2 linked regions of the Rattus norvegicus genome follow. The main gene of each other region encodes a partner of the protein of the gene in region 2 in a complex. Links are inferred from orthologs where the notes say so. Each region holds a gene or a part of one and is shown on either strand. Other genes may lie near its edges.

Region 1 (4,100 bases), about 110 Mb from region 2:
CTCTGTGGGGTTTCTTCTCCTAGATGTGGGCTCCACTGTCCAGGAGACAGATGGAGTTATCAGACTTGGGACACCCCAGACAGTGGGTCAGAGAAAGGTATTCCAGGTCTTTGTAGTTGTGCCCGCATCTCCCTCTTCTTCCAAAAGCTAATGGGGGAAGGCTAGGCAAGAGGAGACCCTGGAGACACACCCTTCTGCCCACCACTGCTAGGCTCCTCTCTGGAGTGACCCTCCTCTCTGCCTCCACACACACGGGAGGCCAGCTGAGTGCTTCCTAAGCTAGATCTCAGAACTTCTGAAAAGGAGGGCAAAGGCCTCTAATCCATAGACCTTGCACCCCTGGAAGGAAGAACCGGATGGGCGCTCCAGAGGGTGATTAGTGCTGGGTCAGTCCCAGTGCTGGTTCCCAGACTCCCACAGGCCAACACTTTCACCCGCTGCCAGGAAGTTGGTGAGGGGGAGGTGGTAGTACGGGTGAGTCAGCGATGACAGGAGCCCCAAAACAAAGGTCATGGGTAGAAAATTGAGAGACACTGTTTACAGCAATTACCTTCTGGAGGTCTTCTCCCAGTGCCTACCATCCTCCTCTAGCTCTGAGGAGTTCTTACTCCTGCTCTTCTGTCCAGGCCTGACAACTGTGTTTGACCCTATACCTTGTAAGCTTGGGAGCTTCTAGAGCACAAGGAAGGCTAGTTAGTTACACAGTATCTGTGACTAAGAGTACTGATCACAATTTGCCTACACTTCCCACTTGCAAAAACCTCTTTTGATATCTATTTTGAATTAGCATGTGGGAGATGCTTAGAACTTGGCACATGGTAAATCCAATATGAAGGTTAGGTTTATTGAAATTATTTTCTGTTCGTGATACACATTCAGAAAACAAAAACAAAAACAAGAAAAAACAGAGCAGATCTGTCCATTAAGAACTGGGAATATGAACCCATGGAGAGTGGGGACTATATTTCTGGTGTCTTCCTTGGAATGGAATCTTCCTGACTAGCAAAGGGGACAGAGGCAGGCTGTGGGACTTGACAGCAGGCACAGCAACCGTATGCCTGGGTTGAGTGAACAGTGTCTCTGCCAGCAGACTGTGAGAAAGGAGCCTTCTGAGCGCATGGGTTTCTTCAGCAAGGTCTCCTGGGGCCAGTAGGAGCAGGGAAGGACCTGGTCAAGTCCAAACTCTCTTTGGACCTACAGATCTGATCCCACAGCGCTCTAGGGCCAACCGGCAGGAGTAAAAGGTTCTCAGGGGACTTACAAACTGGCCACGGGGATTAGTGAGGCTGAAAAGAACATTTGCCTAGGAAGGAAAAACGGGAAGTGAGAGGCCGAGGATAACTCTCTATACGTCCCTGGGGACCCAAGTAGACCAATGAGAAACCCGAGGAGGTGGTGAAGTCTGGGGCATCTTGACAGGTTCTTGGTTCCGCCTAACCCCTCCTCAATCGGAACGCAGCAGCAGCTACCCCGCCCCCTGCTTCTGCCGATTGCCATTGGCTAGAATTAAGGCCCCGCCCCGCAAAGGCCGTTTGCCATTTGCTTAGGTCTCTGATGTTTGCATGCTTGTGGGGGCGGAAGACAGGCGTCATTCCCTGGAACTTAAGGACTTCCTCTCTATGCTTGTCTGGGTCAACTTGTCTGTCCATTGCTGGCCTATCTTTCTCTGGCCCCCTCTCTCACTCTCAGCAGCTGTCTCTCACAGGCCCGCTGCCCTGCCTTTTCTTTGCCTCCTGCTCCGCCTGCCTGGGTGGCCGCCATGGGTCGGAAGCGGTTCATCACAGACTCCTACCCTGTTGTGAAGAAGAGGGAGGGGCCCCCTGGGCACAACAAGGGGGAGCTGGCACCCGAGCTAGGTCTCTGAAATGTGGGGGTGGCAGGGAGAAATGGACATGAAGTGACCAGAAAGGACTCTGTGTGTGTGTGTGTGTGTGTGTGTGTGTGTGTGTGTGTGTGTGTGTGTGTGTGTGTTGGCTAAAAGGAGAAGCTAGCATGTCTCGCACTTCCGATGAGCTGTCTGTCTGCCCGATGGCAAAGGCAAACGAGTGGGGAGATAGCCAAGAAATAGAGGCACAGCTCTGAGTCCAGGGCAAAGGCCTGGATGAGCCTGAGGAGCCACATGTTATTGCAGGGGAAGACACCCAGTCCCTCAGCCAGGAGGAAACAGAGCTGGAGTTGCTGAGGCAGTTTGACCTGGCCTGGCAGTATGGGCCTTGCACAGGTGAGAACCCCATTTCCGGCCCCTCCCATTAGGCACAGTTCTGTCATCAATGTGCCTCAGAAGTAGTCCAAGTGCCTGCCTAACTCTTGGACACCTGTTTCCTGAGACTGACGTATGTAGGCTCAAGAAACTGCCCTCTGTATTCTCTAGCCCAGACTCCCCTGCCCATCCTGACTTCTTTCCCCGGTGGTAGGTATCACAAGGCTGCAGCGCTGGCATCGGGCAGAGCAGATGGGCTTGAAGCCCCCCGTAGAGGTGTACCAAGTGTTGAAGACACATCCTGAAGACTCTCGCTTCCAATGCAGGTCAGGACAAGCTGGGACAGCCTTCAGGGAAACCAGGCACTTCTCCAAGGGTTGCCACCCTCTTGGTCTATGTAGGGGCTGCCTTGACTTGGAGAAATGGGTACAGACTTAGAGAGTCCTTCCTGACAAGCAAAAAGGGTCTTCTAGGTGCCTGGCTTGAGACAGTTCTCTACAATGACCTTACCTCTATGAGCTAATGGTGGGGGAAGAGTATATCTAGGGCCCATGGGGCTATCCATGCATACTGGGGTGTTCACCAGAGCCACAGAACGATAGGCAATAGTTACGAACTAGAGATAGTCCATCAGGGAACAGAGCCAACTTGGTTATGCATTCCTTCTCCCACCCTGTCTTCCACAGCCTCTGGCATCTCTACCCACTCTGAGGTACCACCTAGGTTGTCCCCTTGGCATCTCCTAGCCACCAAGAACTTCAGGGCAGACATCATGGCTTTCTCTGATCACCATTCCATTTTTGGATAACAAGTTAGCAGGCTGACTTTGGAGGTCTTCCTGGTCCAGCTTCTTATCTGTCTACACAACAGGCTACTGAAGCTCCTGGGGACCTGAGAAGCCGAGCAGAGCACCTCCAAGCTCTAATCATGAGCACTAGATGTCTGCCACACCCTCTCTGACCTATGGTGTGGCAAATCCAGCACAGTCTGGCATAAAGCCAGATGTAGTCAGGGCCCACCTAGGGCATCTTGCTGAGAACACAACTGGCTGAGTTCTTAATCAAAAAGTTCACTAATGCTTACAATAAAGTATATTAAGCCTGAAATCCTGACTTTAGTCTCTTAATATGCCCTACTCTAGCTGGCAGTTCCCAAAATGTAAGTAGTCTGGAGAGCCAGCAACAGCTTTTTATTTTATTTTATTTTATTTTTTGGTTGGTTGGTTGTTTTGAAACAGTTTCTCTGTGTTATCCTGGTCCTGGAACTTACTCTGTAGACTAGGTTGGCCACAAACTCAGAGATCTTCCTGCCTCGATTCCTGAATTTTGAGATTAAAGGGTTTCAATATGGGGGGGGGGGGAGAGACACTATGATCAGAATGTAAAGTGAATAAATTAATTAATGGGGAAAAAGGTCTCATAATATGGTCCTGTCTGTCCCAGAACTCACTCTATAGACCAGGTTGGTCTCTCTCTCTCTCTTTTTTTTTTTTTAAAGATTTTATTTTATTTATATGAGTACACTGTTGCTGTCTTCAGACACACCAGAAGAGGGCATCAGATCCCATTACAGATGGTTGTGAGCCACCATGTGGTTGCTGGGAATTGAACTCAGGACCTCTGGAAGAGCAGTCAGTGCTCTTAACTGCTGAGCCATCTCTCCAGCCCCCAGGTTGGTCTCTTAACTCACAGAAATCTACCTGTCTTTGTCACCCAAGTGCTGGGATTAAAGGCTCATGTTTCTTTCTACCCCACCAGGCTTCCGTATCTATTTTTCTAAGGCAGTCTTTTCAAAAGATGAGTGACCTCTGGTGTCCTCTGGTAATACTTAGAAACCCACTCTAGGGGCTGAAGAGATGGCTCAGAGGTTAAGAGCACTGACTGCTCTTCCAGAGGTCCTG
Region 2 (3,858 bases):
TGCCCCCGCCGCCTCACCCCGCCTGAGCTCCTGCCTGAGCCCCTGCCTCATCCCTGCCTGAGCTCCTTACTGAGCCCCTGCCTCACCCCTGCCTGAGCCCCCGCTGAGCCCTTGACCCCACATGCCCATCATCCCCAGAATGGGAATGAACAGACGCGTCGCCGCCTGGCCGTGTACTGCCTGAAGGATGCCTTTCTGCCTCTTCGCCTACTCGAGCGCCTTATGGTGCTGGTGAACAATGTGGAGATGGCGCGTGTCACTGGTGTACCCCTTGGGTACCTGCTCAGCCGAGGCCAGCAGGTCAAGGTCGTGTCTCAGCTGCTGCGCCAGGTGAGTGGCTGGCCCGATCGGCCACACAGGTGTACACACCCTACCTGGTTCCCGGATACTCACGCCACCCTTTCTCTAGGCCATGCGCCAGGGGCTGCTGATGCCTGTGGTGAAGACGGAGGGAGGTGAGGACTACACGGGAGCCACTGTCATTGAGCCCCTCAAAGGGTAAGGACCCTGCTGGGCACAGTGGGGCATTTGTCATCCCAGCACTTGGGAGGAGTTCAAGGCCAGCCCGGACTACTTGAGATCCTGTACATAAGAATGTTAAAATGTCAGGGCCCAAGGGTAGGGGCTGGGTGGGGCTGACTTCCCCAAATTCTCCCTCAGGTACTATGATGTCCCCATTGCCACCCTGGACTTCTCCTCTCTGTACCCATCCATCATGATGGCCCACAATCTGTGCTACACCACATTGCTACGGCCTGGGGCTGCCCAGAAGTTGGGGTATGCTGCCTTTATCCAGGATGCCCCCCCAAACCACCCTGAGCCCTGGTTTCACGGCTTGATAAATCAGGCTCAGGAATCAGGTCCACGGAAAGGGAGACAGGGGAGTCAGGGATTCCACAGGCTGTGGATGCAGCTAATGGAGAGGCCGGCCTAGGGGAGGCTGAAGCAGGTCCTGGGGGAGGTTTGCAGAGAGAGGTAGGCCTGGGGGAAGCTGGGGAAAGACAGGCCATGGGGGATCTAGGTAGTTCAGAAGCCCAGCCTCCTGTGTTTCCTCCTTCCCCAGCCTTAAACCAGATGAGTTCATCAAGACACCCACTGGGGATGAGTTTGTGAAGGCATCTGTGCGGAAGGGCCTCCTGCCCCAAATCCTGGAGAATCTGCTGAGTGCCCGGAAGAGGTGGGCTGTGGGCTCTGCTCTATGCTCAGATCCCTGTGCTGACTTAGCCCTGGTATTCTGTGGCTGTGGCTGTGTTAAATGAGGCGCCTTTCCAGGCGTCACCCTTGTGTCTAGCCGGCCTGCGTTCTGAGCAGCGCACAGCGCCTCTGCTATATTTGGCACCCCTCCCTGATCGGTGTCCATGCCTGGGTGCCTCCCAGAGAACCATGGTCCCCTTGAATAGCCTTCATCCCGCCTCCACCTAGGGCCAAGGCTGAGCTGGCTCAGGAGACGGACCCCCTGCGGCGACAGGTCTTGGATGGACGGCAGCTGGCACTAAAAGTGAGTGCCAACTCTGTGTATGGCTTCACTGGTGCCCAGGTGGGCAAGCTGCCGTGTTTGGAGATCTCCCAGGTGAGCCCTTGGGACCCTGATGGGCGACTGGGGTTACTGCCCTGCATTGAGGGGTCAGATGGGTCAGGGGGTATGGCAGTATGTCACCAATGTGAGACCATGCTCTGTGCCCTATGCATAGTCATCAGAGACCAGAGCACCTGTCCTTGGTACTTCTCGCTCACAGGCTAGTAGGACAGGGACTCTGTGGTCAGGTAATGTTTCTGGCTCAGTAGCTTACAGGGCTCTGCCAGTGACTCAGGTGAGGAAAGTGCTCAGGACGCTGGGTCACTGGGCTTCCCTGCCCTAGCAGCTGCCCCTCCGGTCACCTCTTCCACATCCCTGTGGAGGTGGGGGGGGGGCACGGCCAGGCTGGATTCAGTGGGTCACTTGATGGCCTCTGTCCCAAGTGTGAGGACTCTAGTGAGGACCGTGGCTAGCACCAGCTGGGACAGGAGTAGAAAAGAACTGCCCCACCTCCCTGGCCAACATGGCAGCACTGGGTTCAGTCAGAAACAGAGTAACAGTGAGAGAGTATGAGGCCTGAAGTGCAGCCATGCATGGTCTGTGGACGATCCTGTTGTGAGGGGGCCTGAGGTGCTGCTACCCAATCTGGTCATAGTCCTGGTACTTGGCTGTCTCAGCAGTGAGGAGCGATGTGTCAGGAGCACTTAGCCAGGGAGTGTCCAGAACGAGGGGGCAGGGTTTTCACAGGATGGGTTACAGGGTAGAGGCTGAGTGCCTAACACAAGCTGCTGCTCACTCCAGCTCCCATAATCCCAGAGTCCCTGTTACCTCCTCTTGTGAGCAGAGATCTGTGGTGTGACTCAAGGGCTCGGGGAAGATGAGTGCCTGGAAGGATGCCCAGGCACTCAGAGGGTGTCTCCCAGGAGCTGGGCCCCTGGCCAGGCCCGCCCGCCCGCTTGCCCTCCTGCCCTCCTGCCCTCCTGCCTGCCTGCCATCCTCACTCCTAGCATCCCACAGAGATGGGGTGGGTGTTGGGACCTTAGGCCAAAGGAGCCACTGGTAAATAACCCTGTCTGTCTCTCACACCTCTCATGGGGGAACAGCAAGCTACTGAGTCATTCCAGAATAAAATTGAGAAAAGGGAGCACAGAGCAGGTGCACAGAGACAAGTCAGGTGTGGGCTCCTCGGATGTCCCATGACCTCATGAAACCCGGGCAGACAGAGAGCATTCTGCTCGTCACGCCCCGCTACCCAGCCAGCCCCATCCCCATCTGTAAAATAACAGACATCAGGGTGTGGTGATGTCAGCCTGTACTTGCATTTGTTTGTGAGGCTGCGAGGCCGGGGGAGAGACCTGTCTAGGCTTCAGGGAGTTCAGAGCTGGGTAGCTTACACCCTATCTTGAAATAAAAGAAGACTGGGGATATAGTTCAATGGTTTAGCCCCTGCTTAAAATCTCCCAGTGAGGGGCTGGGTGTGCCCAGTGGTAGAGCCTCTGCTCACTCTACCATTCTACTGAGACCCAGGCTGCACTCCCAGAGAGGGAGTGGCTCCTTGTCCCCCAAGAATGTACACACTTTGGAGCAGCAGTCACCTGTTTGATACACCTGCCTGCGGTGTATGGTCCGTGATGCTTGAAAGTGGCAGGGGTGAGTCCTCCCCAAGCTGGATCCACTGTGTACAGCATCTGTCTTCTCACTCTCCCTGGTTTTGCTCCTAATAGAGTGTCACTGGGTTCGGGCGGCAGATGATTGAGAAAACCAAGCAGCTAGTGGAGACCAAGTACACTCTGGAAAATGGCTACGATGCTAATGCCAAGGTCAGGGCCTGGTCACACCTGCCCGCTCTCTGGGGTCCCTGGGCTTCCTTCCATGGCAGCTCCTGGGTTGAGAAGAGACATCCTTCACACATGTACCCTGGCAGGTGGTCTACGGTGACACTGACTCTGTGATGTGCCGATTTGGTGTCTCCTCTGTGGCTGAGGCAATGTCTCTGGGGCGGGAGGCTGCAAACTGGGTATCCAGTCACTTCCCATCACCCATCCGGCTGGAGTTCGAGAAGGTGCGTGTGTCCCCTGTACTTGGCTCAGTGGAGATATTAGGGGTCTTATAGATTAGCGATGATCTCTTACTACTTGCATCCCTGCAGAGGCCAACAGTGCAGTAGTGTGGGGGTCCCTAGGCTGGAAGCCTTGCAGTGTTCTGGGGTCTAGCTGAGGCCTCTGTTGGATCTGCATGTGTGTGGCTCTGGGTGCTGGACATTGCCTCCAGTCCTCACCAATGCTCGGACACCCCTGGCTGCTCATCCAGGGCCTTCTCAGCTCAGGACGCAGTTGATCCTG

The links. The genes of interacting proteins can lie anywhere in the genome.
Region 1: Pold1 (region 2) and Pold4 share a complex: the UniProt entries of both Homo sapiens proteins name them as parts of the tetrameric DNA polymerase delta complex. The link is inferred for Rattus norvegicus from reciprocal best matches to the Homo sapiens genes POLD1 and POLD4.

Annotation. Positions count from the first base shown.
Region 1 is NC_086019.1:210,954,558-210,958,657, forward strand, and holds Pold4 (DNA polymerase delta subunit 4), read left to right. Parts: upstream 1-1,636; 5' UTR 1,637-1,759; coding exon 1,760-1,856; intron 1,857-2,131; coding exon 2,132-2,221; intron 2,222-2,414; coding exon 2,415-2,526; intron 2,527-2,886; coding exon 2,887-2,911; 3' UTR 2,912-3,070; coding exon of another isoform or gene 3,071-3,095; 3' UTR 3,096-3,306; downstream 3,307-4,100. UniProt on the Homo sapiens protein: As a component of the tetrameric DNA polymerase delta complex (Pol-delta4), plays a role in high fidelity genome replication and repair.
Region 2 is NC_086019.1:104,164,688-104,168,545, reverse strand, and holds part of Pold1 (DNA polymerase delta catalytic subunit), read left to right. Parts: intron 1-138; coding exon 139-330; intron 331-409; coding exon 410-498; intron 499-660; coding exon 661-777; intron 778-1,063; coding exon 1,064-1,177; intron 1,178-1,422; coding exon 1,423-1,570; intron 1,571-3,240; coding exon 3,241-3,336; intron 3,337-3,440; coding exon 3,441-3,578; intron 3,579-3,858. UniProt on the Homo sapiens protein: As the catalytic component of the trimeric (Pol-delta3 complex) and tetrameric DNA polymerase delta complexes (Pol-delta4 complex), plays a crucial role in high fidelity genome replication, including in lagging strand synthesis, and repair.